Linked DNA regions of Macaca fascicularis. The protein of the gene in region 1 binds, or shares a complex with, the protein of each later gene. Links are inferred from orthologs where the notes say so. Each region holds a gene or a part of one and is shown on either strand. Other genes may lie near its edges. The genes, in order: CTSK and CST3.

Region 1 (16,039 bases):
ACCCAAGACTTGGCCATAAAGATAATGCTGCATTTTTCTGTCAGAATCACATATGATGTGTGTTCTGTAGAGGTTATTTCTGCATGGAAACTCAACTTCTTGGATTAGCCGTCCCAGTGAAAATCCTCACTGTTGGAGTGTAAACCAAATACGAAGCCCTCTTGCAAAGTAGCCTCTTTCATCCCGTACTCAAAATACCCAGTTTAGCAAGAAACTGAGATTTAAGTCTTTCGGGCCCTAAGAGGTTTTTCATCTTTGCTCCCTCCAATCTTGAGATTGGGTTTTGCTTTAGTGCAAGTATAATAATTCCGTATGATAGTTGGGGCCTGGACACCCATCTCAACAGGGTCACTTGGTAATTAACAATAGCCATATAAATGCGGATACAGGTTACTACCCTCACCGTTTACCTTCCTCAGGTAATAGTCGAAGATACCAGCTTTTTTTTTTTTAAATTGGCTTTGGCCAGTAGCTAAAGTGCAAGACTGAATTAATGAGAAGATATATTAAATGTAGTCATAGGGGACTGAGGAGCAAGGATGGCCTTGAAGAGGCCAAAGTAATGTCCATTTGCTGGGTTTCCCTTCCTTTTGTCTCCAGTCCGGTGCCAGGTAGTGGAGTAAAAAAGGAGACAGTTTATTTTTTTATTCTATGTGCACACTTACAGTATACATATATATTTATATCACAATTTATGAAACCAAAAAGTTGAGTTTCCAATGGAACCCTTGTTTTTTAATAATCGACTGTTTTTAAATGTGATCAGGACTATAATGTTGTACAGTTATTATAGGGCTTTTGGGGAAGGGGAGGATAGCGAGAAGATGCTCTGGGGGTTTTGTTTTTGCTTTTCCTTCAGGGTTTTATTTTTGATTGTTTTGTTTTCTTGTTGGCCATTTCTGTATTGCTGGCATCTGTGCTAAGCCTTACAGTGGCAAAAATAATGACATGTAGCAAAGATTTTGAAACAAAATATTTTTTTCCTTTTGTAAAATTTATTGTGTTGTGTGATCTTGATTGCGGCTTTATCATTCCTTTCCAGTTCATAAACAACAGGCACCCACAACTAGAGGAATCTATAGTTTAAGCTCCAGACATACAAACATAAGGCACATTGTGTCTTTAATTTCAGGAATCAGAAATCATAGGGTTCTGATCACACTGCACGCCTCCCCCTCACTTGTCCTCCTGATCCTGACACATTCTGAGTAACATCAGCAGGAATGCTCTGATCATAAGGTGGGGATTTTGGGGTGGGCACTGCCTGGGTTCTTGGGAGAGAGGGAAAGAGTTGGGACTTGAAAACCACCAGGGCACATCTGGATGCCTTCCCCCAGTATGTCCTCTTCTGGATTAAAATGAGTGAAATTTAAACTGTTTAAGTCTGGACCTGGTTTCCCTCTAGGAGACTATGTTGGTTCATTAGCAACATATATATATATATATATATGTTTTTTTTTTTTTTTTTTAATGAGAGAGAGAATCTCACTGTGTCACCCAGGCTGGAGTACAGTGGCATTATCTTGGCTCACTGCAACCTCTGCCCCTTGGGTTCAAGCAATTATTCTGCCTCAGCTTCCCAAGTAGCTGGGACTACAGATGTGTGCCACCATGCCCAGCTAATTTTTGTATTATTTTTAGTAGAGATGGGGTTTCACTATATGTTGGCCAGGCTAGTCTCGAACTCCTGACCTCAGGTGATCCACCTGCTTTGGCCTTTCAAAGGCTTGGGATTACAGGCGTGAACCACCGCACCTAGCCCATTAGCAGCTCTTAAAATCCAGAGGCATAAGCCTGTACTCTTGAGGGTTTATGCATTGAATCCAGCTAGAAACTGAGTCTATTACAGATCCCATTTATTATCCTTTCTATTCCAAGAAGCCTTTTTTCCTCCTTCCCCACATCTGTTTATGGAAGAAAATGAAGTTTGGGGTGTGGTTTGAGGACTCAGCGAGATTCTTATGATCTGTCACATGCCTGGATGTTGGGGAAGCATTTGGAGAAGCTCATGTGACTTGTCCTAGATTGGGGATTTTAATTGAGACAGATGATGTTTATCGGGCATCCCACCACCTGAGGGTTTTAGCAACAGAGTCACATGGGAGTCCATCAGAACTTATGGCACTGATTCAAGTGCTGTCATAGATAACCAGGACTGCTGTTTTTGGTTACTTTTAAAGACAGTTTCATCTGGACTTTCTGGGTATATCCTTCAGCAAAACCACATTAGGCTGGGAAAGCTATTCTCCTTCCTGGAAGTAATGACAACTTGCAACCAACAAGCTTACAAAAATACAAAGAATTCTGGAGCGTATGGCTTCCATTACATTATTCTTTTATAGCCTTTTATGTTCATTCCCGCATCCCAGAGGTGAGGGTCAGACACAAATTTGAAAATAGGTTTCAATGTTGGAGAGGTAAATCATAACAGGAAAGGGGTAGGAAAAGATGTAATCCCCCAGTGTTATAATAAAGATATTGAAGAAGAAGGATGGGAGAGACTAGGGCTGTGTCCTTCCTTTTACTCACCAAAAGAGAAGGTAAGCTCCTATTTGAGTCAATAGATACTGAGGTCTTGTTATTTGCCACCAAAGACAGTCTTGTGAGATTAAATACCTAGCAACTCCCTACCCTGGCACACATGCTGCACACACACACGAACACTACAAATCCACTGACTCCTTCCCTCCTCCCTACCCTTCCTTCTCTCAGCATTTCTATCCCCGCCTCCTCCTCTTACCCAAATTTTCCAGCCGACCACTGGAGCTGACTTCCGCAATCCTGATGGAATAAATCTGGCACCCCTGATGGTCTGCCCACACTTCGCTGCCGAAACGAAGCCTGACAACAGTTCCATCAGCAGGTAACATTTGCAACTTCCTAGATCTTTTAGCTTTTCATTCCTGTCAGTTCTCTAAGAGTATTAGGGATGTAGTGACTTGAGAATCACAATGAACTTTTAGCCTTTGCAGATGAAAACTGAGATGCACTTCTTAGATCATTCCCTGGCTAAATAAAATCTGCCTGGAAGTCTGTAGAATTCCTTGTATGATTTATATATATATATACATGGTTGTAAGTAAAAGCAAAGTATGTAGGGAATCATTTGCCTATCCTTCAAGGGTGGCCTTTCTGCAGTGTTTTCTACTTTGGCCAACAAGGATCAAAAGGGTTAACTCCCTAGTGAGGAGGAGGAGGAGAGTGGTATGGGGAGGTGGTAGCTCAGTGCTTCCTGTTTGCTGAAACATCTCAAAGCCCTTAACACTCTAACTTTTAAGTGTCCTACTGGACATTTTGCCAGTTTGAAAAAATTACATGTAAATGGACTATAAGCAATTGTGTAAGCCATATGACATGCTGCAAGCTGCAAATTGTTCTTAAAATGGAGGAGTTGTAATTAAGCAAGCCAATGCAAGAAATGAGTGAAGCTAGCTAAACTTATGAAAAGCTGTGAATTTAATAATCATAGAACATTGCTTTTCAGTCTGAACATTCTTCTAACAAACCTTGGATCTGAGGCTCCTTGTCCTGTGCGGCAGCCACAGTGGTTTTTTGTTGTTAGGGGAAAAATAAAAAACCTTGCCCGCAGCATCTGGTTAAGATTAGGGCAGTTTCCTGCCTAAGGAGGGAGGGGAGAGCAAAAGGAGGAAGAAATGCATAAGGAGAATGAGGAGATAGAAAATGTCTCAGAAAACAGGAAACATTGTCATATTTTCCCTTGTCCTCTTCTGACAAGATCTGGGAAAGTACCAGAATTTAGGCAAGAAAGAGAAAAATGCCTCGAAGAAATGATCAGGAAGCAAAACTTAGATGGAAATCTCTCCTTTGTGTATTCTGAACCCCACTACCACCTTGCTCTTTATCTGTCTCCAAGCCTGCTGAGGACCCTGGAGGAAACAGGCACTGAGCCCATTCTGATTGTCCAGTTTCTATCCTATTTCTGGTTGTGTAAGTGTGTGTTTTTGTGTGAGAGAGAGCGAGAGACAGAGAGTGTGTGTGTGTTGGTTAAATCTCCCGAGAGAGAGAGAAATGGCTACATCTGCCTAGATCAAAACTTGGAACCAGATGTACCAGCACCCTATCTAAACACAGGTCCCTCCTGACTATCATTGATTTATCACCCTTTCTCTGTCTACCTTCCTCTTCCTCATAAAGCCTAGTTTTCCTTGGTTTCCCTGCCAAATGGAAGAGTTTTCCCTAATTACATTCTTCTGCAGGATGTGGGGGCTCAAGGTTCTGCTGCTACCTGTGATGAGCTTTGCTCTGTACCCTGAGGAGATACTGGACACCCACTGGGAGTTATGGAAGAAGACCCACAGGAAGCAATACAACAGCAAGGTGCCTGGGGTCCTGAAGGGGGCATGGCAGGAGGGCTGAGACTTGAGCTCTCCCATCTTAGCTGCAGACTCCCTTCTTCAATCCAAATGCTTTATTCCTAGCAAATCAGTCCCTCTTTCCTAACTCACGTTAACATACGGTTTTCATTCCTATGCTTCAAATCATCCTCTGTCAAATTGTATCCTACCTTTGCTTTATAAGTGTGTTACATTTCTCTTTTGGGAAGATTTCTAAGATTAATGCTATTCATCTATAAGCATTTTTTCTGTCTCTCCAGAGCTTTGTGTTGTATTTCTTTACGTATTATCTCTTCTTGCAGGCCTTAATAATTCCATGGTTAGTTCCCCAACTAAACTGTAAAGTTTTATGATTGTGAGTTTCCTTTATTCTCCTAAAACCCTTCACAATATGACATATGTAACTGTACACGGTCTATACAAGTACTGACTATGCTTTGTTTAGGTGGATGAAATCTCTCGGCGTTTAATTTGGGAAAAAAACCTGAAGTATATTTCCATCCATAACCTTGAGGCTTCTCTTGGTGTCCATACATATGAACTGGCTATGAACCATTTGGGGGACATGGTAAGTACAGCCTCAGCTCCTGTCCCACCTGCACCGTTTGCTTTAGTTCCCTGCTGATGCCTGGCCTCTTTCTTCTTTGTCTCAGACCAATGAAGAGGTGGTTCAGAAGATGACTGGACTCAAAGTACCCGCCTCTCATTCCCGCAGTAATGACACCCTTTATATCCCAGACTGGGAAGGTAGAGCCCCAGACTCTGTCGACTATCGAAAGAAAGGATATGTTACTCCTGTCAAAAATCAGGTACTCTCCTTTCTTCTGGGTGTGCATATGTAATCTGGCATGACCTTTTCCTTTTTCTGCTGCTTTGTTCTTGAGGTGAAAGGGCACCAGGAAGAGAGGGCAAGGGATTAAGGTACATCTCCCCATTCCGTTATTTAACCTCATTTGTTTCTGTACATTTGGGTTGTTTCTGGTTTTTCTTTTTCCTTTCCTTTTTTTTTTTTTTGAGATAGAGTGTCACTCTGTCGCCCAGGGTGGAGTGCAGTGGTGCAATCTTGGCTCACTGCAACCTACACCTCCCGGTTTCAAGCGATTCTCCTGCCTCAGCCTCCCGAGTAGCTGAGGTTACAGCACGCACCACTACGCCTGGCTAATTTTTCTGTTTTTATAGAGATGGGATTTCACCTTGTTGGCCAGGCTGGTCTTGAACTCCTGACCTCAGGTGATCCACCTGCCTTGGCCTCCCAAAGTGCTGGGATTACAGTCGTGAGCCACCGCGGCCTGGTTTTTCTTTATTACAAATAGTGTTGCAGTAAGCACCCTTGTGCATATATTTTTGTGCACATGTACAAATATTTATGCAAAACAAGTCCTAAAATTGGAATTGCTGGGTCACAGTCCTTTCCCCCCGCAAAAAATTATTATTATTGTTATTTTTTTTTTTGAGACAGAGTCTCTGTCACCCAGGCTGGAGTCCAGTGGCGCAATCATGGCTCACTGCAGCCTCAACCTCTCAGGTTCAAGTGATTCTCCAACCTCAGCCTCTGTAGTAACTGGGACTACAGGCACATGCCACCACACCCATCTAATTTTTAAAAAATTTTTTGTAGAGACAGGGTTTTGCCATGCTGCCTAGGCTGGTCTCAAATTCCTGGGCTCAAGCAATCTGCCTGCCTCGGCCTCCCAAAGTGCTAGGATTACAGACATGAGCCACAATACCCAGCCCCAAAAAGTTTTTGCAATCTTACATTCTTACTAGCATGAGAATGTCAGTTTTTTCACAACCCAAACAACACAGGATTGTATCAGCAAGATAAACAATTGATTTAACGTTCATATAACAAACACTTTTTGACCCCCAGAACCAACCAGGTGCAGTGTTAGGCAGCAGAGATTCAAGATGACTAAGACACAACCTGTGTCCTCAGGAAATCTCAATCTAAAAAAACAGAATAGGAAAGAAAGAAAAACCTACAATCTAGCTGCATGAACAATAATAGCTAATACTTCTTGAGATTTTATTGTGTGTCAGGAACTTCTTAGCTCTTTACATGACTTAAATATTTTAATCTTCATAACAATATTTTATACATAGAGAAACTGAGACACAGGCAAGTTTAGTAACTTACCCAGGGTCACATAGCGACTGGGTGGCAAAGTCAGGGTTAGAACCCAGGACAACTGCCTCCAAAGCTGGTACTGTGCACTGCTTTACTGTAGCTAATAGTAAAAATGGTAGCAAAAATCAATAGCAGTAGAACAATGCATCAGATGTTAAGGGGAAGAGAAAGACTCACAACAAAGACAACATTTGTGCTGAAATTTTTAGAACACATGGAATTTCTTCAGGCAGGTAGAGAGAAGATATAGAAAATATAAACAGCAAAGATTGATAGTTTCTCTGTATGCCTCTCAGGGTCAGTGTGGTTCCTGTTGGGCTTTTAGCTCTGTGGGTGCCCTGGAGGGCCAACTCAAGAAGAAAACTGGCAAACTCTTAAATCTGAGTCCCCAGAACCTAGTGGATTGTGTGTCTGAGAATGATGGCTGCGGAGGGGGCTACATGACCAATGCCTTCCAATATGTGCAGAAGAACCGGGGTATTGACTCTGAAGATGCCTACCCATATGTGGGACAGGTGAGATTGCTCCACACAATTATACAGCTCTGTCGGCTCCTCCTTCCCCAGCATGATATTTTGTACTAGAAACAATTCCAGAAATACTGTTTTCTGTTACCCTACCCTGCTTTCTTGATGGAATAATTTCCCACAGAAGACTAAGAAGATTTCCACAATCTGGGGGAACTTAGGGAGCTTAAGCTACTATAGTTCCTATTTGCCTCTCTGCCATGGAGAGAAAATAGAGGCTAGGCCACCTACCCCATAGACTTCTGAGCAGGGTTCTATAACCCTTTGCTCAATTCCTCACTCCCACAACAAACCCACAAACCCACCATGCCATTGTGTGGCTTTATTTTATATGATCTCAGTGTGAGTTTTCAGAACATTTAAGGAAGTTATGTAAGTTTACATGCTAACATGTAAAAAATGAGAGAAAAAACAAGTTGCTTCATATTAGAGATAAGGGATTAATTCAGTTCCTCCTGCATGATCCTCTAGTCATAGGAAGGAAATCGTATCTGAAAGGGAGGCAACCTGAGGGTCTTTTTATACACATAGGGCTGGGACTGATAGATAATATAATGTGGGGCCTTCACAACAGAAACCTCTGAAATAGGCATAGCAAGTTTGAGAATAAAAATGATGGCTACTGTGTTCTAAGCCATGTCCTTAGTGCATTTTTTCTTTTTCTTTTTTTCATTTAATCTCATAACAACTCTGTAAGGTAGACTTATCTTCAATGTATATGTGAGGAAATGGACACTTAAGGAGATAAGACACTGTAATTCATACCAGTAGTATGTAGCAAAGGTAAGATGTATCTACTAGGGATGTTTATCTTTAGCAAACATTCCTAGGTATGTCTCCCATACACATGTGCAAGAATTTCTTACTAGGATATAATGACTTGGAACTGAATTGTCTGGGTCTTAGGGTATATCTATTTTCAACTTTACTACATAATGTCAAATTGTTTGCCAAAATATTTGGAAAAATTTATACCTGCAATGTATAAGAAATCCCATTGAATCACCTTTTTATCAGTGTGTTTATCTGGCCATTTGCATTTCTTCTTCAATGAATTAACTGTTTTTATCTTTTGCTCATTTGTTTTTCTTTTTATTTATTTGAAACAGGGTCTTACTGTGTTGCCCAGGCTGGAGTGTGGTGGTACAGTCATAGTTCACTGCAGCCTCCACTTCCTGGGCTCAAGCAATCCTGTCACCTCGATCTCCCAAATAGCTAGGATATAGGTGTATGCCGTCATGCCCACCAATTTCAAAAATCGTTGAATTTTTTTTTGTTGTTGAGGCTAGGCATGGTGGCTCATGCCTGTAATCCCAGCATTTTGGGAGGCTGAGGCGGGAGGATCACTTAAGCCCAGGAGTTCCAGATCAGCCTGGTACAACATAGCAAGACTTCATCTCTACAGAAAATCTTTTTAAAAGCAGCCAGGTATGGGCCGGGCGCGGTGGCTCAAGCCTGTAATCCCAGCACTTTGGGAGGCCGAGATGGGCGGATCACAAGGTCAGGAGATCGAGACCATCCTGGCTAACCCGGTGAAACCCCGTCTCTACTAAAAAATACAAAAAACTAGCCAGGCGAGGTGGTGGGCGCCTGTAGTCCCAGCTACTCAGGAGGCTGAGGCAGGAGAATGGCGTGAACCCGGGAGGCGGAGCTTGCAGTGAGCTGAGATCCGGCCGCTGTACTCCAGCCTGGGCGACAGAGCGAGACTCCGTCTCAAAAAAAAAAAAAAAAAAAAGTAGCCAGGTATGATGGCGTGCACCTGTAGTCCTAGCTACTCAGGAGGCTGGTTGGGAGGACAACTTGAGCCTGGGAGTTCAAGGCTGCTGTGAGCTATGATCATGTCACTGCTCTCTAGCCTGGGTGACAGAGTGAGACCCTGTCCCGAAAAACAATAAAAATTTTTTTTGATAGAGACATTGTCTCACTACGTTGTCAAGGCTGGTCTCAAACTCCTAGGCTCAAGCAATCCTCCCACCTCCCAAAGTGCTGGGATTACATATGTGAGCCACCATGCCTGGCCTACCTCTTTTTTTTTTTTTTTTGAAATGGAGTTTTGCTTTTGTTGCCTAGGTTTGAGTGCAGTGATGCGATCTTGGCTCCCTGCAACCTCCATCTCCTGGGTTCAAGCGATTCTCCTGCTTCAGCCTCCTGAGTAGCTGGGATTATAGGCACCCACTACCATGCCGAGCTAGTTTTTGTATTTTTAGTAGAGACAGGGTTTCACCATGTTGACCAGGCTGGTCTTGAACTCCTGACCTCAGGTGATCCACCCGCCTCGGCCTCCCAAAGTGCTGGGATTACAGGTGTGAGCCACCGTACCCCACCTCTTACCCATTTTTAATTGGGTTGTTTTTTCTCTTTCTTAGCAATTCTTAAAAGTTTAAAAAGACTATTTGGATACCAGTACTATGTATTTAAAAGTTGAGGTTTGTCTTTTCATTCTCTTTATGTCTTTCAATCTAGAAAAGTTAATTTTAATATAGTAAAATGATTAATTTTCCTTTGCAATTTTTGCAATGTGTTTTATTCATTTATGAATGGAGAAAGGTAAGAAAAAACAAAATTTAAAAAAGAAGAGATCTGGCCAGGTATGGTGGCTCACACCTATAATCCCAGTACTTTGGGAGACTGAGGCAGGCAGAGCACTTGAGGTCAGGAGTTTGCGACCAGCAGGGATAGCATGGTGAAACCCCATCTCTACTAAAAATACAAAAATTAGCCAGGTGTGATGGCATACACCTGTAATCCCAGCTACTCGGCAGGCTAAGGCAGGAGAATTGCTCGAACCCAGGAGGCAGAGGTTGCAGTGAGCCAAGATCATGCCATTGCACGCCAGCCTGGATGACAGAGACTCTGTCTCAAAAAATAAAAAGATAAAAAAGAAGAGATCTGATAGGGCAGCAGCCAGATAACATTTTAAAGGGATGGTATTATAAGTTTGTTCCAGCTATAATGCAGGTTATTCTGACTTTAAAGTATCATCACATAACATCTTTTTTTTTTTTTTTTTTTTTTGAGACGGAGTCTCACGCTGTTGCCCAGGCTGGAGTGCAGTGGCGTGATCTCGGCTCACTGCAAGCTCCGCCTCCCGGGTTCCCGCCATTCTCCTGCCTCAGCCTCCTGAGTAGCTGGGACTACAGGCGCCCGCCACCGCGCCCGGCTAATTTTTTGTATTTTTAGTAGAGACGGGGTTTCACTGTGGTCTCGATCTCCTGACCTTGTGATCCGCCCGCCTCGGCCTCCCAAAGTGCTGGGATTACAGGCGTGAGCCACCGCGCCCGGCCCATAACATCTTTTTGAGTCAGTTTCCAAGATATTCTGTTTCACTTGTAATTCTGTGTAGTTTTTGGCACCAGGAGGCATCAGGGATTTGGAGCACATGGCAGAAACAAAGGCATATTGAAAAATATCAAGGCAGTAGACCACTGTAATCTTAAAATAGCACAGCAAATGCTATTGCTGTTAATATTTAGATAATGTTAGATAACGTATTTTTTTAGAGGATATTTCACTATCTTACACAGGCTGGAGTGGAGTGGCTATTCACAGCATGATCATAGTACACTAAAGCCTCAAACTCCTGAGCACAAACAATCCTCCTGCCTCAGCCTCCTGAGTAGTAGATAGTATATTCTTGTGGATGCAACCTTAGGGTTCTGAAGGGGTAGTCTGTAGGAAAATGAATTGCTGAAAAGAATACACCACCTTGACATGGGCTATTATTCGATTCCATAATTGTGGCTTCCCAATGAAATATTGCTAACTACCTGTAAAATATAGTGTTGGAAGTCATAGGCTAAATTGCTAAGTTCTTTAATCTATTTTAGCGTCATGTTATGTACTTTCATATTTCGTCTTTGATGAGAGCACAAGGATCACACCAGTTCCCCTGATATAGGTGCAGAGGGCCCAGGTCTTCCCTCTAGCTAAACCTTGACCTTGGCCTCCTGTCCACACAGAAGCTGGTGCCTTCCTGCCCCCTGAGGCTAATACATACTATGTGGCCAGAAGATGGTTTATGCTTTTAAAAAAAATCTTATTTCAGAAATCTTTCCCTACTGTTTTACAGGTTTTCCTCCCACATTTATGTCTTAAAACACCTGTAGTTGATTTTTTTTTTTTTTTTTTTTTTGAGCTGGAGTCTCGCTCTCACCCAGGCTGGAGTGCAGTGGCACGATCTTGGCTCACTGCAAGCTCTGCCTCCCAGGTTCACGCCATTTTCCTGCCTCAGCCTCCCGAGTAGCTGGGATTACAGGCACCCACTACCGTGCCTGGCTAGTTTTTTTGTATTTTTTTTAGTAGAGACGGGATTTCACCGTGTTAGCCAGGATGGTCTCGATCTCCTGACCTCGTGATCCACCCGCCTCGACCTCCCAAGGTGCTGGGATTACAGGCGTGAGCCACCGCGCCCGGCCTGTAGTTGATTTTTATGTGTGGTGGAAGGCGGGAATCCTCTTTTCATATTCTTTTTTGTGAGGAAGAACAGACCCTCTCTAGAAACCCTAGACTGCTGCATCACTCAAAATATTGGTTGAGTTTCTCACTCACTGACTCATTGCCTATTGCTTTGTCCTACTTCTATTACAATCTTGTTTCTTCCAGGAGGAGAGCTGTATGTACAACCCAACAGGCAAGGCAGCTAAATGCAGAGGGTACAGAGAGATCCCCGAGGGGAATGAGAAAGCCCTGAAGAGGGCAGTGGCCCGAGTGGGACCTGTCTCTGTGGCCATTGATGCAAGCCTGACCTCCTTCCAGTTTTACAGCAAAGGTAAGAAGCTGCTGATCCTATAGATCACTGTCTTTTATGATACAAGCTTGATGGCTTCTCGAAGGACCTTGGGTATTTTCAGTACTAGTTTTTGTATTCAGATGGAGGCAGCCAGAGAGAAATTAATTGCTGCAGTACGGAGCAGCATCTCTGTGGTAAACCCTCCTGACAGGGATGGAATTCTACAGAGAGTCTCCTGGACTGGGAGATCCCACAGGGTGACCCTTGGATTGCATAGAGCCTCACACTGATAGTTTGTATTCTAGGTGTGTATTATGATGAAAGCTGCAATAGCGATAATCTGAACCATGCGGTTTTGGCAGTGGGATATGGAATCCAGAAGGGAAACAAGCACTGGATAATTAAAAACAGGTAATGATGGGAACACTACTTTTGTTATTCAATCACCCTTTTAACACTCAACCTCACCTCTAGCTTCCCGATATTCCTTTCTCTGTCCCAAATCAAGAAAAAATTATCTCAGGCTTCTCACTTCTATCTTCTCAGTCAGAGGCTCTTAATTCTGAGTCCAACACTTAATGGCCAGTGTGTTAGTCCATTTTGCATTACTACAAAAGAATACCCGAGACTGGGTAATTTATAAAGAAACGAGGTTTGTTTAGCTATACGAAGCATGGCACTAGTATCCGCTCAGCTTCTGATGAGGCCTTGGAGCTTTTTCTCATGGCAGAAGGCAAAAGGGGGAGCAAGCATGTCACATAGTGAGAGAGGGAGCAAGAGAGAGAGGGAGGTGCCAACTCTTTAAAGAACCAGCTCTTGCATGAACTAATAGAGTGAGAACTCACTTATCACCAAGGCGATAGCACCAAGCCATTCATGAGGAATCCACTCCCATAACCCAGACACCTCCCACTACACCCCACCTCCTACATTGGGGATCACATTTCAGCATGAAACTGGGAGGGGACACACATCTAAACCATATCCGCCAGACAATAGTGCTCAATTATGTGCTGGGCACATACTCCCTGTGTGCAAGATGCTTAGTGACATACACAAACCAATGAGCAGGTGACACCTTCAGTGAGCTCAGAGCCCAGTAAGATAGACGTAACTAACCATGAGATAAAGCAGTACAGAGAATCAGCAGGAGCTTTGAAATTACATATTTTTACTTTCTTTTGTCTCTAATATGATCAGTTTCTTAGGGTGGTTTCCATTAGCAGTCTGTCTTTAACAACAGGGCAACAGCGTAAAGGTTTAATACTCCTTTGAACAGTTTTTTCCCTTCAAGATACACTTAGGATACACGTATATAAGAACTTGCCAAAGATTGTGAAGAGAAACATTTTTTAGAAATAAGATATAAACAAAAAAAGTTGGTGTTTACTTTCCTGTGTTGGGGAACAAAGAAAACTCCAGGGTACCTTGTTTTCCATTTCTCTTTAGCACCTTGTGACTTTTGGGGAGGGGCAGATTGATAAGAATTATAGTTTTCCTTTCCTGGCTGATCACCATTAACCTGGCAGCAGCACTGGCTAAATCTGCTGTCCTTAGTGCCCTCCAAGGAACAGGAGCCCTAGACTCTGGGGAGCTCACAGACTCACGCAGTGGTGTTGTTCAAACCTGAAGCAACTTTTTATATCACAGTTCCAACTCAAGATGAACCTGAGCATCTTCCCAAGTCTCCCACAGCTTCTGTCCTGTGTTGTCCCTTCTCTTGACTCCCAGCTCTAAGCACTTACCCTGTTCTTTCATGATCAGGTGCCATGTGTGGAGATACTTCCAAGAGAGCTGGGAGGAAGAAAGGACATACCCGGGCAGGATCAGGAACACTGGGGGCCCCTAGAGAAGGGGAGAGTGGGGATAGAGTACAGGTTTTAAATAAAATGTATTGGGTAATTAGAGAAGTTGCTGCTTGGGGAAAGAGGACTGAAAACAATTCAAGAAGATATACAGACAGTCTCTCCTCTCTCCTCTTTCTCTCTCCTGTGTCTCACGTCATCTCTCATGTCTTCTAGTCTCGCCACTCATTTCCTTAATAATCTCATCTACTCTCATAGTTTCATCCATCTCTTCTATAGGGTTTACTCCCCAATCAAAAGCACCAGCTACAGCCTCTTTCTTATGCTCTAAACTTACATTTTCAAGATTAATCTTCCCCAAATACAGCTCTGATCATATCACTCTCCCACTCAAAATCCCTTACTGGCTCCTCCACTATGATGGGTCACAGAGTAAAGGTGAAGCTGTTTAACCTTGCAGTAAAGGTAATTCAACCTGGTCTCAATCCGCCTTTCCAGACATCTCTCCCACTACACCCTGTTAGGCACACTGTTTTTCAGCTACATGATCCTAACAGTGCCCCACACTTTCCTGCCTCTATTGTTCATTTCACACCCTTCCACTGGCATCCCCTTCCCACAGGTCGAAATTCTACTCAGCCTTTTGGCTCAGCTTAAATGCCATCTCTTACATCAAGCCTCTGAGATTCTCTTGATCAGAAGGAATCTTCCCTCCTTTGATACCTGTAGTATTATGCCTTCTTCCTATTTCTTGACTTTAAACTCTTTAAAGGTAAAAACCATCATATTCATTTTTGTGTACCATCAGTATCTCGCACAATACTCAGTAAATATTTTAATGAATAAATAAACTAAGAGTACTAAGTACTTTTCTTGATTGGTCTTACAGCTGGGGAGAAAACTGGGGAAACAAAGGATATATCCTCATGGCTCGAAATAAGAACAACGCCTGTGGCATTGCCAACCTGGCCAGCTTCCCCAAGATGTGACTCCAGCCAGCCAAACCATCCTGCTTTTCCATTTCTTCCGCAATGGTGCAGTGTAACGATGCACTTTGGAAGGGAGTTGGTGTGCGATTTTTGAAGCAGATGTGGTGATGCTGAGATTGTCTGTTCAGTTTCCCCATTTGTTTGTGCTTCAAATGATCCTTCCTACTTTGCTTCTCTCCACCCATGACTTTTTTCACTGTGGCCATCAGGACTTTCCCTGACAGGTGTGTACTCTTAGGCTAAGAGATATGACTACAGCCTGCCCCTGACTGTGTTGTCCCAGGGCTGATGCTGTACAGGTAGAGGCTGGAGATTTTCACATAGGTTAGATCCTCATTCACAGGACTAGTTAGCTTTAAGCACCCTAGAGGACTAGGGTGACCTGACTTCTCACTTCCTAAGTTCCCTTCTGTATCCTCAAGGTAGAAATGTCTGTGTTTTCCACTCCAGTTCATAAATCTATTCATAAATCTTTGGTACAAGTTTACATGATAAAAAGAAATGTGATTTATCTTCCCTTCTTTGCATTTTTGAAATAAAGTATTTATCTCTTGTCTACAGTTTAATAAATAGCATCTAGTACACATTCATTTTGTGTTGGATACTGTGCTAGGTGCTGGAAGAAAAAAGATGAATAGAACGTTTTCTCTGTACTTGTTGCACTCACGGTCTGGTTGTAGAGACTGTCACATAAACAATTCATCCCAATTCATTTATTTGTTCATTCCTTCAGCCAATATATATTGAGTGCTTACTCTGTACCAAGAACTGTACTACATTTCTGGGATTAAGTGGATATAAGGAAATCTCAATGTTTAATTCTGCCTGAGGGGAGACATGAGGCGTGACATGGAAACTTGAGTCTTGAAAAACATTGTAAGGTTAGTTTTTCTTTTCTGTCTCTCTCGCTCTGCCTCTTTCTCTCTCTGTCGTCAGGGTCTCCCTCTGTTGCCCAGGCTGGAGTCAGTGGCACTCATAGCTCACTGCAGCCTTGATCTCCTGGGCTCAAGAGTTCTTCCCACCTCAGCCTCCTAAGTAGCTTGGACTACTGTGAACACCGCCATGCTTAGCTGATTTTTTAAAAATTATTTTTTGGGAGACTGAGGTGAGAGGATCACCTGAGCCCAGCAGTTTGAGACCAGCTTGTCTCCCTATGTTGGCCGCCTCGGCCTCCCAAAGTGCTGGAATTATAGGTGTGGGCCACTGCATCCAACATGACACTGTTGTTAATATGGCTATAATCCCCAAATTGATCTACAGAATCAACACAATTTGTATTAAAATCCCAGCTGGCTTCCTTGCAGAAATTGGCAAGCTGACTCTAAGATTCATATGGACATTCAAGGGCTTCAGAAATAGCCAAAACAACCTTGAAAAAGAACAAAGTTGGAGGACTTGCACTTCTCAGTTTCAAAACTTAACTTCATACCAATAGTAGTCAAGACAATGTGGCATAGGATAGGCATATAGATCAATGGAATAGAATTAAGGGTGTAGAAATAAACC
Region 2 (16,570 bases), on another chromosome or scaffold:
CTCCCTGCCGTGTCCCCTGCTCTGGCTTTGCAGGGTGCTGGCCTTGGGGCTACTGGAGTGGATCGTCTTCCTGGGCCTCATCTCTGCAGCTTCACCCTGGAGTTATGGGACAGGGCTGGTGATTTGCTCTCTCTGCATCTTTCAGGGAGGCTTGTGGCCTAGTCTGAGGTCACTCCCGCCAGCAGTCATAAGCCAGCTCCCCTCTGTCTCACAGCATCAAGGGTGGCAACATCCCAAGCCTCTAAGTCCTTAAAAAACCACCAAGGCAGAGGAAAAAAAAACAGGCAAAATCAATAGTTTTCTATTGAACTATTAACTAGTCTATCAGCAAAGACTAGAGGTACAATACTTGGAAATATTCCTGACCAAAATATAAAATATCCAGGATTAAATTTCACAGAAAATACAAAAGATGCATAAAATTTACTCTCCGAAGACCATCAGAAAAGCAGGAATATATTGCAAGATGCATGGTATTCTAAAATGAAAGACTCAAATGTTCAACGTTGTCAATTTTTTTTCCAAAAAAATATATTTCTACTTATTGAACCTGAGAAAACAGTTTCATTTGGAGGAACAAATACATTCAGAAAACAAAATTTTGGGGGAATAAAGAATAAACAGAATGGAGAATGGTTCTTACCTAAAAGACATAAAAATATTGTATTTAAAATGGAGTAATTAAAAAAAATGGAAAAGCACAAGGCAGATTTAGGACTGAGATCATGAAACTGACCTATGGTTATGGAAACTTGCTGTGGGCTGTCAATTGGAGCGGCTCTGGGAGGTCTCTTGTGGAGGCTAAGGCCACTCCATCTTGGATGCCAATGCTGAGCCTCAGTTCCATCAATGCTTCTAAGATTTCTATTTCATCTGCTGTTTGCTGCAAATCCAGCCCTTAGGTAAATTCCTTCTGAAGCTCCTATACCCTTTCCCCTATGGCACAGAAGCCCAGGGTCTGGGTAACGGGATGGGGACCCACTGTCTTGCGGCCACGCAGGACATGGCTTCTGCTCGCTAGTCCCGGTTACAACTTTCTTTCTAAGAAACTAGACTTGTCAGCCTTTCTTTGGCCTCTCAGCTCCCTTGGACTTTGAGGGCAGGCGTGTGCAGGCTTGCCATCGAGGAACACCCTGCCAGCCTGACCGTCCTGGGGATAGGGATCCTTCTGCAGAGGCTGGCTTCCTTCAGGGCAAGAATGCTAGGGAGCTCGGAAGCTACTGGGCCCTTCCTGATCCCGCCCTGATGCTCACCAGCATCACAATGCAAGAGGTGTCAAAGCACCATGTTATAAAGCCACCGGTGTAGAACCAGATCAATGAAAAAGCCTCTCCAACTTCCTGTTTATTCAGAGCCAGGCCCTGTAATGAATCTATTCATATGGATAACTGTAGGTGAAGTATATACTTAAACCAACTTTTAAAATAAATGTAAAAGTAACTCTTGGCCGGGCGCGGTGGCTCACACCTGTAATCCCAGCACTTTGGGAGGCCGAGACGGGCAGATCACGAGGTCAGGAGATCGAGATCATCCTGGCTAACACGGTGAAACCCCGTCTCTACTAAAAAATGCAAAAAACTAGCCGGGCGCCGTGGCGGGCGCCTGTAGTCCTAGCTACTAGGGAGGCTGAGGCAGGAGAATGGTGTAAACCCGGGAGGCGGAGCTTGCAGTGAGCTGAGATCCGGCCACTGCACTCCAGCCTGGGCAACAGAGCGAGACTCCGTCTCAAAAAAAAAAAAAAAAAAAAAAAGTAACTCTTGCAGATGAAAGGTGCAAGGGCGAAGCCTCCTCTCCAGGATGTGCTGGTCACAGTAACCTCTGGGTCCGAGGGGCTTCTGGCTCACTGGCCTCATGGGGCTCCAAGGGAGGCATTTACAGGCCTGATGGCTGTGGAGGAGACGCAGGGGTGGCACCAACCTGCTTCCCTGTCGGCTGTGGGCCATGGGGCCAACGGCTGGAGGGCAGGGAAGGGAGGAGACATACAGGGAGATTGGGGAGTCCTGTGTACAGCCCCCACCCCACCTCAACTCCCCCAGGGAAGAAGTGTGTCAGAAAAGGGACTGGGCTACACAGTCAGCTGTTCATTTCCACTGTGTGCCTGGATGGTCATTGTATGTGTCATAGGAGATCCTTTACCCAGGTAGAAAGCCAGGAGCACCTCCCTGCAGGGACTCTTTACCCCTGACCCCAACCACCACTTCTATCCCCCAATCCCCAACAGAAAACTGAGTCACTAAGTCCACCCACCCCCAGCAGAGTGAGACCAGACTCAAGTCTCCTCAGCTTATGGCCTCCTAGGCATTGTTACACTTTCCTCACCCCAAATACCCTGTTAAAGCAAGTCAGGGTGGAGAGGAAATGGAAGCAGATGCTCCCCACTCTCCCCGCCGTGTCCCCTGCTCTGGCTTTGCAGGGACAGCATGTCCTTGGGGCTACTGGGGTGGATTTTCGTCATTTCACCTTCAGTGTTCATGGCAGTGGCCAAAAGTGGGTGTCAGTGCAGCTTGGAGCTTGGAAGGTACCTGGGAGCCCTGCCCTAGCAGCACTGGCTGTGAGGGCTGCACCCCTGTCCTGAAATGGCAAAGGGAAGGACCATGCAGGGTGGGCTGCGTCCTAGGACTGTAGCCTCCTGCTTGTGGCAAAGATCCACTATTCTATAGGATGATGCTGACATGAAGGGAATGTTCTCTCTTAATCTTTGGAAAAAGAAGAGTCCACTGCATTGTCAGTCTCATTTGTGCTTTAACTTCATCCCTACCATGAAGCTGGACACAACTTGTTTTAAATCCAAGTCCAGAGAAAGGGCTGGTGGCCATGAGCCTGTAAAACTCTCTGAGGACACAGCCTCCCAGTATGGATGACAGCAGGTGCTGCTTTCTCTGGGTGATCTTGCCGGTCTCTGGCCTGGTTGACATTTCTCCCGCTCAGTTACACACATAGGCTTTTTGGACTTTGTTTCCATGTAGGGGCCTAAGTCTCTTGGAAAGAAACACACATCGATCACTATCTATTTAGTGTCTAGGGGAATGATGAGAGCAGCTCAGTCCCTGGAGTCTGCTCAACTCTGCAAGCACAGATGGAACCTACGGCCTGGCGAGCTCCACCGAGGCCTGGCCTCTGCCTGTGGACACAGCCAGCCCCCTCCTCCTGGTCTGACCAGGAGCTCAGACCAAAGCGCCAGCCCAGCTTCTGGGGTCAGCAGCCTGGGCACCCTGCTCTCCCTGAACCCCTCACCAGGGGCCGCTGTGGCTGAATGCCTGGGTTCCCAGCCCCGGGCTGCTCTCTCCTTGCTCTGAGATTCAGGTCTCCTATAGCAGCAGCTCCCCTGACAGCCTTGCTGTGGCTGTGTCAGCTCCCAGGTACTCCTCTGATCTCCACACCAGCAGGATGAGGCGGCTTCATAAAGGAACTGTGGAAACCCTGCCTGTGTGCACATCCCCAGACAGCCAAGAACTCAAAGGGAGCCGATGCTACTGTTTTATTGCAGGAGGTGGGGGCGTGTCACCGCGCACAGGGGCTGTGAGAAGCAAGAAGGAAGGAGGGAGGGTGGAGCCCCCTGCTGAGTAACAAAGGCCGCCTGCTGCCTTTTCTGTCTCCTGGCGCAGGCACATGGGGAGACCTTCCCGAGGACGGGGGCCACCAGTCCAGGGGTGGGAATACAGGGGGTGGGAGGTGTGCGTAAGAGGTGATAGGCACAGGCCAGCCTGGTACAGACTCCTAGGCATCCTGACAGGTGGATTTCGACAAGGTCATTGTGCCCTGCCAAGGCACAGTGTAGATCTGGAAAGAGCAGAATGCTTTCTGTGAAAGAAAACAGAGGGGACAATCAGTGTGGGTTACAGTTCAAAGCGGAAGGTGCCCAGGCACAGGACATCAGAGTGGGAGTGAAGGATGGAGGTGAAACACTGGCCCTTACCTACCCCTCCACCCACCCTTGCTGATCCCAGAGCACTGCTGGACTCGGCAGTGACTGCTCCACCCCTCTCCCAGGGCTCCAGCTCCACCAGGTGGCACTGGGCCACCACCTCAGCCTGCAGGATTCCTGCCCCAGCACAGCCCTATGAGGAGCGGCCTGTGCAAGGCCTCGGGAACCATAAGGGTGCAGAGCAGGGGAAGGCAGCTCACTGTCCCCAGCTCCTACCACCTCCAGCACCCAAGTCAGCACTAAGAGGGGCCAGAGGGAAGAAACCAGGGAACTGGCAATTGCAACTCATAGTGCTTGGAGTGGTAAGGAGATGGACAAGGAGCGTGTGACTCTCCCCTGAGGAGAGACGCCACAAGAAATCCTGGGTCCTTGGAGAAGCTGGTGTTGGGTAAGCTGGGGCAGGTCTGAGGGTTTGGCTGCTAACAGGCCTCTAGTACCCTCTAATCTGCTCAGCGTGGCTGTGGCTGCGGGCACGTGCCTGAGGCTGGGGTTAGACAGAGCCGCTTCTCTGTGCGCAGCACCCAGCCCTGCAGCTGCTTCCTACAGTCCAGCAGGCAACACTCCAAAGCACACAGGGTGGGGCTTCCAGTACCCCCATTCCCAAGCTAAAGCCCTCTTAGCAAATCAGATTCATCAGCCCTCTCCACACCGCCTCATCTACACACACATAGGCCTCCACATGAACTCACCCCAACCCTCACCCACACGGATCTATGCATGAATCCACATACTCCCTCACACCTCTACCCACATGCACACACACAGTGCAGGCACTTCCTCATACAGCATGTATGCGCACAGAACCCCCACACATATGTGCACACGCATGCGCACTCACACACCCACACACATCCGTGCATAGACCCCCACACCTCCCCAAAACATCACACACCCACTAGCACACACTCATATAACCTCCCCACACAAACCTATACATGGAAACACATGTGCATCTCCATATGTACACACACTCAGGCACACGCACACATACCCTCCAGAACATGTACATCACATACACACACACACACACACCCCTCTGCAGTGTATGACTGGCCCTGGACCCACATGAGGCACATACCCTCTTCAGATGTGGCTGTTCATGGAAGGGGCAGTTGTCCAAGTTGGGCTGGGTCTTGGTACATGTGGTTCGGCCCAACTCCACGTCCAAGAAGTAGTTCACCCCAGCTACGATCTACACATGTGAAAGAGCAGGAGGCAGGGACAGCACGCTCTGTCAGTTTCTTACACACACAGGCACTTCACTGTGACTGGGTCACTGGGCTTGCCTGGGGCTTCAAGCCTACCTTCACGAGCTACCCACACTGTCACTTGCAAGGCACACAAGCCACCTCCTCCTGCCAGCTGGCAGGGATGCCATGCCCCAGGCTTCCCTGGTAACTTGTTTTCTCTATGCCAATGCCAAGGATTAACTGAATTCTGCTACCTATGACCCAGGGGGCAGGGACACTGGATCTATTCTAGGAAGGCTCTCATGTGATGATGAAATTTTGGCAAACTTCCAGTTCCTGGCATTCAGTCCACAGAGCATCTCATTCCTCTCATTTAACCCAGAGGTATTTTTCCTCATTTATCAATAGGAGATGAGATGCTCACATACATTGATGTTTTAGGCCAATAAACTGCTTCCCACATGCCTCCATTCCAGGTGTGATTTTGGAGGCAGTATTTCCAAAGTGAGTCTTACGGTTGCAACTTCAGAAGAGAACTGAATGCTTTCCCTGCACAGTGCCACCCCCAGACATGACTTGTGAGAACTGTGGAGAAGCATGGGATGAGGGACCCTGAGACCAGGGTGCTAGACCTTGCCCTGTGGAGCCACACACAAGTCCTGTAGAACCACATGCAAGTCCTGTGATCCCTCCGGTGTCAGTCTGCTGCTCTGTAAAATAGGTTCCAGGGTCCTACAATGCCCCGTGCTTCACTCCCAGTGAGAGAGGGGTGCAGGCCAGCGGGGACCCTACACCAGGGAACAGGGAGAGGACCCCAGCTGACGGCTGCAGGAGGAGAAACGGGGCTGGTCTAGACTCCTCTGAATTTCCAACAGAAGGTGGAGGAGCTCTAAAGTCTGTGTCACTGTTTGTTGCTCTGCCATGGGATGCAGGTCAAGCTGGACCTGGTAGCCCTACTGAAGCTCCCCCCCCGATCTGACCCCCTACTCCGCTCTGCTGGGTGACTGCTGTCCTCATCTGGCTGAGGTCTAACTCTGCATCAGCTGGTAGAAGCAGGGTCAGGCATGCTCCACCCCAGCAGGAATTCAGCTGCCCTGGGCTGTAGGGGGTGGTCATTCGGCCTGAGGGTGAAGGCCCCTAGTCCTAGAGGGCTGTGCCCAGGGGTGTGACTTGGGAAGGGAAGCAGGGCTCTGCAGGACAAGGAGCCAGGCTCAGGTGTGGCCCCTATGGAGAGGACTCCGGGAGGAAGACGAGCCTCATGGTCTGGATCTCATCCTGACCAGCACCAAGCCCACCCAGAGTCAGCACAGTCTCCACCCACACCTGCTGGATCCTGGGAAATGGCACGGTCATGGTACAGACCCAGCGGCTGCTGCAGGTGAAAAGAGGCAGAGGGGACAGGACAGGGCTGAACTCATGTACTCCTGGCCCGGGAGCGTCCTAAGGCATGAAGCCCGTCAGCAGTCAGGGAAAGCTGAATGAGTCTGAGCATTAGACCATGAATGTGTCAGTGCTGATTTTCAAAATGGAATCGTGGTTATGTGAGATACTGCCCTTGTTTTAAGGAAAAACACACTGAAGTGTTTACTCTCAAAAGATTCAGGCAAAAAAATGCATATACAGTACATATACACACACCCATATTCACATTCGGAAAGTGAGCTGGGGGAACAAACGGCAAAATGTTAACATCCGTGCTAACATCTGAAGGATCTGGGTGAAAGATCTACAGGGATGCCCTGTACTATATCTGCAGCTGCTCTGTAAGTCAGAAATTATGTGAGAATAAAAAGTTAAACTAAAGTGTTTAAAAATTATTTGGCGGAAGAACAAGGAGGCAGCCAGATGAGGGGCTCTGTTTTTTCCTTCTCCTGCGTATTCAGCAGCGCACCCGGAGCCCCGCGTCCCAGGAGGCCTGGACAGAGTTGGGTGGGACGTCCTGTGCCTGCCCCCGCGCTGCGGCGCCGCTCGAGCTGGCGCCTGGAAGCAGATCTCAGGCGCCGGGCGCGGACCTGGCGTGTCCTTGCGGTTCCAAGCCAGACAAGACTCGGGGCATTCCCAGACACGCCCGCCAAGGGCTCCAGGGTGACAGCGAAGACCGGGAACAGGGTCTGGGTGAGAAGCCCAGGTGCCGGGGGAAGGAGCAGCCCCGGGGGTCCGGGAGCGGCGCGGGGCAGGCTGGGGCGGCGGGGCCAGGGTTCGGGACCCTGCGGGGGGCGGCACGCACCTGCTTGCGGGCGCGCACCACCTGCAGCGCGCGGCTGTGGTACATGTCGTTGCTGGCTTTGTTGTACTCGCTGACGGCAAAGTCCAGGGCACGCCGCACACCCTCCTCCTCCACGCTGGCGTCCATGGGGCCGCCCACTAGGCGCGGCGGCTTCCCGGGACTTGCTCCGGCCGCGGGGCTCACTGCCAGAGCCACGGCCAGGATGGCCAGCAGGAGCAGCGGGGCGCGCAGAGGCCCTGCCATTGTCGGCTAGGACGCGGGACACGGAGAGTGGGGCGCAGGCGAGAGGCTTGAGCTACTGACAGAGGACCCAGTGCGATCCCGAGGCCGTGAACACTGCGGGGCCAGCGGCTGCGCTTTTATCCCTTCTGGCCTTCCCCGCCCCTCGCGCCCTGCGCTTCCTTTTCCGGAACGCCTAGTCCCTCCCGCTTCCCCTCTCCCTTCCCACCTCCCCTACCTCTCCCCGCCTCCCGGTCCCTCCCTACCAATCTCCTCCCCTCCCTGCCTCCCCTGCCATCCTGGCCTCCCTGGCCCTCCCCATCGATCCCCTTCCCTCCCCATCCATCCCCTCTCCTCCCCTCCCAGCCCCTCCCGGCCTCCCCCCTCCCTTCCCGCCTCCCCCTCCCTTCCCGCCTCCCCCTCCCTTCCCGCCTCCCCTCTCCCTCCGCTCCTCCCCTGCCCCCTAGCCTCCCTGTCCCTCCCTATCCATCCCCTCCCCTCCCCTCTCCCTCTTCGCCTGCTCTCTTCCTCCCAGCCTCCCCTGCCCCTCCTATCCTCCCCATTCTTCCCCATCCATCCCAGACCATTCCAGCCTCCCCACTTCAGGCCCCTCCATGCTTCCCCTCTTCAGGCTCCTTCTCCTCTATCCGTTTCCCCTTTCAACCCCCAGACACCGCCTCCCCTGCCCCTCCTCTCCCTCCTCCACTCTTGTCCTTGCTCCCACTTCACCCCCAAGCTCTGCCCTTCTTTATTGCCCCTCCCTTGTTCCACCCCTCCTCTGTCTTCCCTTCCTACCCACCCCTGGCCTCTCCCTGTCTCTGTCCCTCCTATCCTCTTCTTTCCCCTTTTCTAACTCCACTCCTGGTCCCTCTTCCCCCACCCCTTCTACACCCACGCCCCCCTCCTACCCACTCCATCCCCTCAGCTCCATCTCATCTCATAGACCTGTCCCTCCTCCCAAGCTTAGGTCACCCTGCCTTCCAGAGAGGTGTCAAGTCCCCCTGAGCCCTAAAAGCATGCGACCCCCTAGCTTCATTTCCTCAGAAAAGGGAAGGATAGAGGTCTTGGCCTTCCGGAGTCGTCGGAGGTCCCGAGTATCCGCGAGCATTTGGTCAAGGTCTAGAAATCACTGAGGCAGAGATGTGATTCCAGAGGCTGCAGAAGACTCAGGCCATGCCCTGTGCTAGGGGACTTTTCAAACAGAAGAATTAACCTTTATTTGAGTAAAAAACTCTGGGTTCTCCTTTCACAATTCCTTATTATTCAACAAACAGACTTGTCACCAGCTTCCCCCTGCACCAGGTGGTGTAGGAACTAGAGACGGAGCCTGGGTGACCGAGCCGTGGACACAACATTGCAGGGCTGCTGCCAGACAGAGATGTGACGCAAACCTGGGAGCAATTTAAAACTTTCTAGGAGACACATTTCAAAAAGTAAAAAAGAAACAGGTGAAGGTAATGTTTATAATATTTCTTACTTAACCCAATATATCCAAAATATTATTTCAACACATAAGAAGAATCATTAATAACATAGGTTATTTTATTTTGGGTGTGTATACTGAGTCTTTGAAATTCCCTGTGTATTTTTTACACCTAGAGTGGGTGTCAATTATACTGGCCCTATTTCAAGCGCCCTGTGGCCACATGTGGCTGTGGCACTGCACAGCCCAGCATTAGGGTGTGTGGGAGGATGGCGAATAGTGATCAATAATTAACATCAGGAAATTAGTCTCTCTGTTGGAAGTGAAAGTATGGGATAGAAAGAGGTGATGCCACTGGACCTGGTCAGGGAGGTCTCTATGAGACTGGAACGGTGACAAGCCCTGCCTACATGGGAAACAGAGCCCCGGGCAGCAGGAAGGGCCAGTGCAAAGGCCCTGAGGTGGGACTGGGCATGCCTGCTCCAGGAAGAGGAAGCTCCTGGAGGGGGTGTGAGCAGGGAAGGGAACGACCTGGAGTCTCATGGTAACTGTGGGTGGGGCTGGGTGGAAGGTGCAAGGAGACCCCTGGCAGGCAGTGGGGGTGTCAGGAGAGGGAGCAGCAGCTGCGGGATGAATGTGGGAGCCCACGGGTGTCTCTTGCTCCTCCCCTCTGGGCATCACACTGCCGGCGCTGGTCCTCTGCACTGCTTGGAAAACTCACCTGAGTTTAGAACATCGCTGTGAATGAGGTAGAACTTACAGACAACAAAATGTCTAATATGGGGGATTTCATTAATGCATATACCCGTGTTACCACTTTGTCCAGACCTGTGACGTCTGCCTTGCCCCAGATGGCGTCCTTCTGCCTCTGCAGCTCACCCTCATGCCCACCACTGGCAGACCCCATCTGGCCCTATAGACTCCTTTGTTGCCTGTCCTTGAGCTTCCCAGGAATGGAGTCCTGCAGAGCGAGCCTGGGTGTATCTTCCTCCTTTGCTCAGCGTGGCTTTCTAGAGGCCCCTGAGTTGTTTCATGGCCAGGACTGTGAGTTCTCCTTCTCCCCAGACTGAGAGGACCTGATCAGCAGGGTGCCCTGTGGGGTGACAAAGTCCCCAGCTCGGGATGCTGCGGGCCTGGGCTGGAAAGTGACTCCAGGAGTGGGGAGGGTGGAAGGAGGCTCTGAACAGACAGCTGTTCCCTTTGTTGTCTCAACCCCACCCTCCACGCCTGAAGGTGACCCTGTGGCAAATGTCCTTATGGCGAGGTGGCAGCTTGGCCAGAAACACCAGGAAACCCTGGGCCTTTGCAGGGCACCCAGAGGACTCTCCTGGAAGTGGTCGAGGTGAGGGTCGGCAAGGATCAGCCCAGACCTGCTGTGATCCTGGGGCTCGGCCATGGCTGGGGCTGGATCAGCAGGAACCCGGCAGTGGGAACAATATTACTCATGGGTGCTCACGTTCAGTGGTAGGACAGGGGACCTTGTTACTTGAGGTCTGTTGACCATCTCACCCCACTGCGAATCTAGCACCCTTAGAAAAGCCATGCAGCCCAGCAGATACAGCAGGTGGCCCAGGGATGGTGGTTACTGCTGGGTGAGGGAGGGAAGGTCTTCAAACAGGGCTGCACATATGCCTCCTAGTTAGACAGGACGTGGGGAGAGATTCCCAGAGAGGGAAAGAGAGGGCAGCCCCTGGCCAGGTGCTTGTGAGCAGAATGGTCATCTCCCAAGTATGGGAGTTGGTTCTTCTCTGTGGCTCCCACCTTCCCTGACCACTGGGGCTCGAGTCTCAGGAGGATGTGTTGTGCAGAGGGTAAACTGAAATACACACAAATCCCCTGTCTTTTGTCATTAGAAAAGAGGTGCAGGTCACCCAGATAGCAGGAGCATGGTGGTAGGTGGGGTGTGAGGTGGGAGCTGGAGTGCTAGCCTATTTCCCTGTATGTGATGCCTCTGCCAGTGGTCATCCTCTGTCAGGATGTGCCCTGCAGGCACCTGCTGCAGGGAGAGTCAGCTGGCCTGATGCAGCGACCTCTCTAACCCTTGTAGGACAGACACCAGTGTAGGGTGCTCTCAGGAGCCGCAGGAGCCATGTTCAGTATGCTGTAGTAGGAAGTGAAAGGTTACAGTAGCTGGGCAGCTGCTCCTGATATTTGGTGACCTTGAGCAAATGTTTTGCCTTCTCTGTGGTCATGTGTCTGAAGAGGTGGGCTGCCTTGTAAACTGTTGTGCCTGGGCATCAGTGATGATGTTTAAACATGATTAAAAGTGACAGAGCAGCCTACAGCTTCAAAGACATGCTAGCAGAGACACAGAGAGAAACAATGGACCTAGGACTGAGCCTGGGGTATCCAGCACCCGTGTAACTTGGAGGAGTCCAGCTGCCAAGGAGGGGGCATGTTTCTCTTCTGCCAGGTGATGAAAGAGAAAACCATGTTCTCCCAGGCTGCCTTTTTGATTATTGATCCCATTATCTGAATTAGCACAGTGAGAAATTGGGTAAATGGCAGAAATTCTCTGTAATAAATAAGCAATAATAACAACACTAAACAATGCTATAATAAATAAATGACCAAACACATAAACAGCACCTAAAGGTGCTACTGGTTAAATCAAGTTGGCCAAGAGTTGAGATTCTGCACTTTGGGTTTTGAGCAATTAGCACTCAGTGTCTACAGTAGGAGCTTGGACTAAACAGCCACAGGATTTGGTCGCTTCTCAAAGCCGAAGCCCAGGAGCCTTCTTTATGGAGTGCCCGGAGTTCTCTGGGGTCAAGCCTGTCCCTTACACACACGCTCCCTCCTTGTCCCCTCTCTCTCCCCAACAATGGAGGACATGCGGATGCTTGCCTCTAGACTGTGGGCCAATGTTGGTAATGCATTTGGCTCCAATAGAGATGATGCCACATCATTAGGAAACTGATACGCACAGGAAGCCTGCTGGCAGCCTTGCAGACAGAGATGAGAATGGGCAGAGCCCAGTGTCTGCGGTCTGTTTTGCACTTCATGGGGGGATGAGAATCCTTGGGACATTTCTGCTCAGGAGCCAGTGTGTAAACGGTGCTCATCGTTTTGGATTATAGGGTTAACATTTATTTTCTCAAGGAGTGCATTCACCAGAGCAGAGCCAGTGACTGAAGAACCGCATCTGAGTGGAAGGGAGAGAGAGAGGCCTCCAGGGACACAGGCTGCTAGCTGGTGCTGCCAGGGCTCCACCTGACTCCCTGTAGAGACCTGGCCAGAAAGAAAACAGATGGCTCTGAGCGGGTTGAGCAATCCCTTTGGCATCTCTGAGTGGTCAGTTTCCTTTCTAGATCCACCTTCTTGTAACCCTTCCCTCTTAGTGTTTCTGCAGCTTTGAATATCCGTTCCTTTAGCAGAGTTCCGTAACCTGGGAGAGTGATTCCTGTTCCTGCCCAGGATCCTGCTAAGCTGACTCACTGGGTGCTGGAGCTGGAGACCCAGGCCTCCTGCTGCATCTTGTCAGAATCCTGCTAAGTTAGTTCAGCCAGCACTCCCTTCCCTTGATGTCTGCTTAGTAACTTTCTACATGCCAATATCACTCCTCCACACCATGTTCCTTGGCTGTAAATCCCACTTATTCTCGTTGTGTTCAGGGTTGAGCTCTATCTCTCTCTTACTGCAATAGTGTTGACCCCCACTGCGACAGTCTTGAATCAAGTCTCCCTTACCATTTTAATAAGTGTCTACGGAATATTTTTTTAACAGTAGAAGCCAGCGAGGCCAAAACTCTGCCCTACCAGAAAATCCTGTTGCCAAGTAAGAGTAAGGGGCTTGGAGGACTAGAAGCAAACAAAGAATGGGAAGAGTGCAGATGGAGTGGGGGTGATGGGAAAGGGATGGGTGTAGGGTAAGGTGGAGCTGTGGGGGTGTGGCATGTGTTTCCCCCTATAGTTTATTATGAAAATATTTAAACATTCATCAAAGTTAGAGTAATTTTACAGCAAACACCTATCTACCCACCGCCATGATTCTGTCATTAATATTAGACTTTAATTTTTTTCTCACCTGTCTACTGCTCTGTCCCTCTAAACATCCTCAATCCGTCTTTTTAAAAATGCATTTTGTAGTAGGTTGCAGACATTAGTATACTCCACTCTTAAACACGTGTTAGTATGCATATCATGAACTCGAGCTCATCATTTATTTATACCTTTTTCATTTGTTATAAAATTTACCTATAGTGAAATGCACATATCTGAAGCATACATTCACTAAATTTTGACAAAGTCACACTCTATCAGATACAGAGCATGATCACCCCCCAGAAAGTTCCCTCGTCCCCTTTTCCAGTCAATTGGGGGCCTCATTTCTGAGACAGCCACTGCACCATGCTTCATTCACTATTGATGAGTTTTGTTTATTGCAGAAGTGCATGCAGACAGATTTTTACATCATGTAGACTTTTATGCTTGCCATTTTTTCACTCAGCATGATGTTTTTGAGATATATCCATGTTAGACAGCATATTCATACATAAGTCTTCGATTGCCACACATGAGGCTCCTGACACTCGCAGCCCTGGATTTCAGACAGCATTTGCTGAGGAGGCAGCTCTAGAGCACTTGGAGCTTTTGCCACTGCTTCCCCTTTCTCCTTTCTAATCTGGACCAACTGCCCTGCCCTACCCCCACTCTCCCTGCTCCTTCTCTTTCATCTCTCTCTTTCTCCTAAGGTTACTTTGACTTTTTGCTCCAAGCAGAATCTAGAATGGGGAAAAAGTGTCACCATCAATGGAGTAAACCCAGTTTTCGAAGATAACGAACAGATTTCTCCAACTCTTCTCCATATTTGAAAATAAAAGTTCTTGTATTTTTAGAATCAAATTTATACATGCTCATTACAAAAATGAATAAGAAAATGAATAAAAGTGTAAGAAAAATAAATTACATGTGTGCATGTGAGTTCGTGTGCTTATGCTTCTGTGCATGTGCCTGTGTGTGTACACATGTGTGCATGTGAGTTTGTGTGCACATGCTTCTGTGCATGTGCCTGTGTGTGTGCACGTGTGCATGTGTGCATTTTCACCAAAATGAGATCATGTGGTGGTTATAATTTCATGTTGCTTTTTAAAAACTTCATTATGTCATGAACATTTTTCATATTGTTAAATTGTCTTTGAAAGTTTTGTTTCATTTCCTATTCTGAGTATCCCATAGTTTAGGTGTTAATTTTTTGCTAATGGTAGACTGTTAGGCTATTTCAATTTTTTTTCTAGTATGAATAATATTGTGATACACACTCTTACAGAAAAAAAAATCTTGGTGCATAGGTTGTTTTCTTCCCAGAAGTGAAATTTTTGAGTCGGGGGCTACAAAGTTGTTGTTGTTGTTGTTGTTGTTGTTGTTTTAATGAATCTTGAAAAAAGACTGCCAATAGCTCTTCAGAGAGATACACTGCCTCAGTCAGGTCCAACTAGCCATGAGGCAGTTCTAGTGGCCAACTGCAGCAGTCTGTGCTTTATCTTAGGTGTGAATGTTGGTGAGTGTAACTGTCCTCAGTTGTCATTGCTGGGCCTGAGACCATGGGTGGTCCTACCTAAAGGGCAACGCTCTTTCTAGGCATCGTTTGCGTCTGAATCACATCATGGTAGACTCATCTTGTTCTTACTGATCCTTTATAATAGGCATTACCTTTTTCATTCTTTCACTTAGTTTAGTAAATATTCATTGAACACCTACCATGTGAGATTCTGACTTTAATGAGGTAAAAGGTACGTTTGTGCTTTCAAGAAGTCCTGGGTCTGTAAAGAGAAAGCCATCTAAACAGATATTTCAACACAGCGTGGTGCAGGTCATCACAGGACACTAAAAGGTGCAGACACCAGTGCCACAGCTCCAACCCCAGGGGTCTCCTGAGGCACATCGGGGGCTTTAACCCCAACGCTGCACGCATGTCTCCAGCATGGATGTCTCCAGCATGAACTCCTGATGAACCTCCAAGTCCATCTCAGTGCCCTTCTCCTGGATGGCTCCAGACACTCCAGGCCACCCAGGCCTTCAGCTGCATGTGGGGCCTACCCCTCCACCTCCCTCACTCCCAGCCTCTCCTGCTCAGTAAGGGCTGCTCCACCTTTCTGGTTGCTCAAGCTAAAACCTGGAGTCCCCCTTCACCAACTTTTCTTCTCTGATTTATCAGGGAATGTTGCCGGTTCCACCTTCAAAACACATCTAGATGATCTGTTCACTGCCTTTACTTTCATGGGCACCACTGGGCCAGACCACTGCCAGCTGTAGGCAGCATCTGACGGGTAGCCCCAGCAGCCCATGCTCACCTCTGAAGCCCAGGGCTCCTTTTACAACCTCAATCGAATCACACTACTCTTCTGTTCAAAATTCTCAGGCCACATGTGGCTCTTGAGCACTGAGATGTGGCTGGCACATTTGTGGTTTCATTGAATATTCATTAGCTTAAGTTTAAGCCACATGAGGCCTGTGGCTGCTGTGCTGAATGGTGAAGTTCTAATGGTTTCAATCTCACTCAGAGTAAAAGCCAAAGACCTCCCAATGGGTTCACAAAGCCCTCATGATCTGCCTGCCATATTCTGACCTCCTGTCTTACTGCTCTTCTTGCTGCTCCTGGAAGGTACGAAGCATACTCCTGCCTCAGGGTCTTTGCACAAACCGATTCCTATGCCTGCAGATCTGTGGTTCTCTTCCTCACCTCCTTCACTCTTTTTATAAAGGTCAACCTCAAAACAAGGAAACATAGAGCCAGTGGAAGTAGCACCAGAAACGTCCAATATCAGGCAGGTAATGGTTAATTTATGTCTAATTTATTCAAGAAGAAAGATTTTATGAAAAGAAGAATGAGTGTTAGCCTGAGTCCCCTCCTAGACCATGACTCCTTGCCTGTGGGGGTCCCTAAGTGGGCCCAAACATCCTTGGCCACACAGTGTAACACCTGCACGCTTGTAACTAGAGCAGTTGTGGCCACATGTCTGTGCATGAAGCACTCGTGGTGATTTTCAAGATAAAGAGGAAGTAAGTGGAAAATAGCTATTTGGGAAGGCTGGAATATGGGCCAAAGAAAACAGTATAAAATTAAAGCATAGAGTAGTTTTATCTGGGGGAAGAGAATGAATGTATCATGCTAACATATATGTCTAATGCATTAACCTGGTTCAAGTTAACTTGCAGGAGTGAAAGAAAAATAAAATACATAATGAAAATGAAAATTTTTGTTTTACTTTCATTTATTCCTTCTCTAATGCTCTCGTTTTCTTCATGTAGATCGAATTTTTGATTTATATTGTTTTCCTTCTTGGAGAACAAGACCCAAAGTGATTCATAGGCAAGTTTGAGAAGCACTGTGTCAGGTGCCTGAGGCATGGCACTGGGTCATAAAAGCTGGTAAAGAAAAACAATTCTGTTCCCTAAATTGCAGCTATAGTAACCACAGGGACAGAATTCTGAAACAGCAAGGAATGGGCGGTTAGGATTCCTCAGACTCCTCTACTGCAGTGTCCTTCGCTTACTGGCACTTGAGAAAGGAATGTAGTAGTAGAGTGTTTGAGACTGCATTTTTTGCCTTTACTTTTTGAGATAGGATCTCACTCTGTCACCCAG

Evidence for each region.
Region 2: the proteins of CTSK (region 1) and CST3 are in contact, whole or in part, in a crystal structure (PDB 8V57), measured with the Mus musculus proteins. The link is inferred for Macaca fascicularis from reciprocal best matches to the Homo sapiens genes CTSK and CST3. Residues at the interface, in NP_031828.2 of Mus musculus: Asn132, Gln133, Gly134, Gln135, Cys136, Gly137, Cys139, Trp140, Glu173, Asn174, Tyr175, Cys177, Gly178, Gly179, Gly180, Tyr181, Met182, Ser248, Ala251, Ser252, Gln257, Phe258, Val274, Asn275, His276, Ala277, Ser297, Trp298, Ser301, Trp302; in NP_034106.2 of Mus musculus: Pro27, Arg28, Met29, Leu30, Gly31, Ala32, Pro33, Gln75, Leu76, Val77, Ala78, Val80, Asn81, Tyr122, Pro125, Trp126, Lys127, Thr133.

Annotation. Positions count from the first base shown.
Region 1 is NC_088375.1:110,433,177-110,449,215, forward strand, and holds CTSK (cathepsin K), read left to right. Parts: upstream 1-2,818; 5' UTR 2,819-2,863; intron 2,864-3,668; exon of another isoform or gene 3,669-3,900; intron 3,901-4,217; 5' UTR 4,218-4,218; coding exon 4,219-4,338; intron 4,339-4,800; coding exon 4,801-4,923; intron 4,924-5,008; coding exon 5,009-5,164; intron 5,165-6,779; coding exon 6,780-6,998; intron 6,999-11,612; coding exon 11,613-11,778; intron 11,779-12,044; coding exon 12,045-12,150; intron 12,151-14,433; coding exon 14,434-14,533; 3' UTR 14,534-15,103; downstream 15,104-16,039. UniProt on the Homo sapiens protein: Thiol protease involved in osteoclastic bone resorption and may participate partially in the disorder of bone remodeling. Displays potent endoprotease activity against fibrinogen at acid pH. May play an important role in extracellular matrix degradation.
Region 2 is NC_088384.1:63,662,226-63,678,795, reverse strand, and holds CST3 (cystatin-C), read right to left. Parts: upstream 7,678-16,570; 5' UTR 7,586-7,677; coding exon 7,343-7,585; intron 5,118-7,342; coding exon 5,004-5,117; intron 3,802-5,003; coding exon 3,718-3,801; 3' UTR 3,464-3,717; downstream 1-3,463. UniProt on the Homo sapiens protein: As an inhibitor of cysteine proteinases, this protein is thought to serve an important physiological role as a local regulator of this enzyme activity.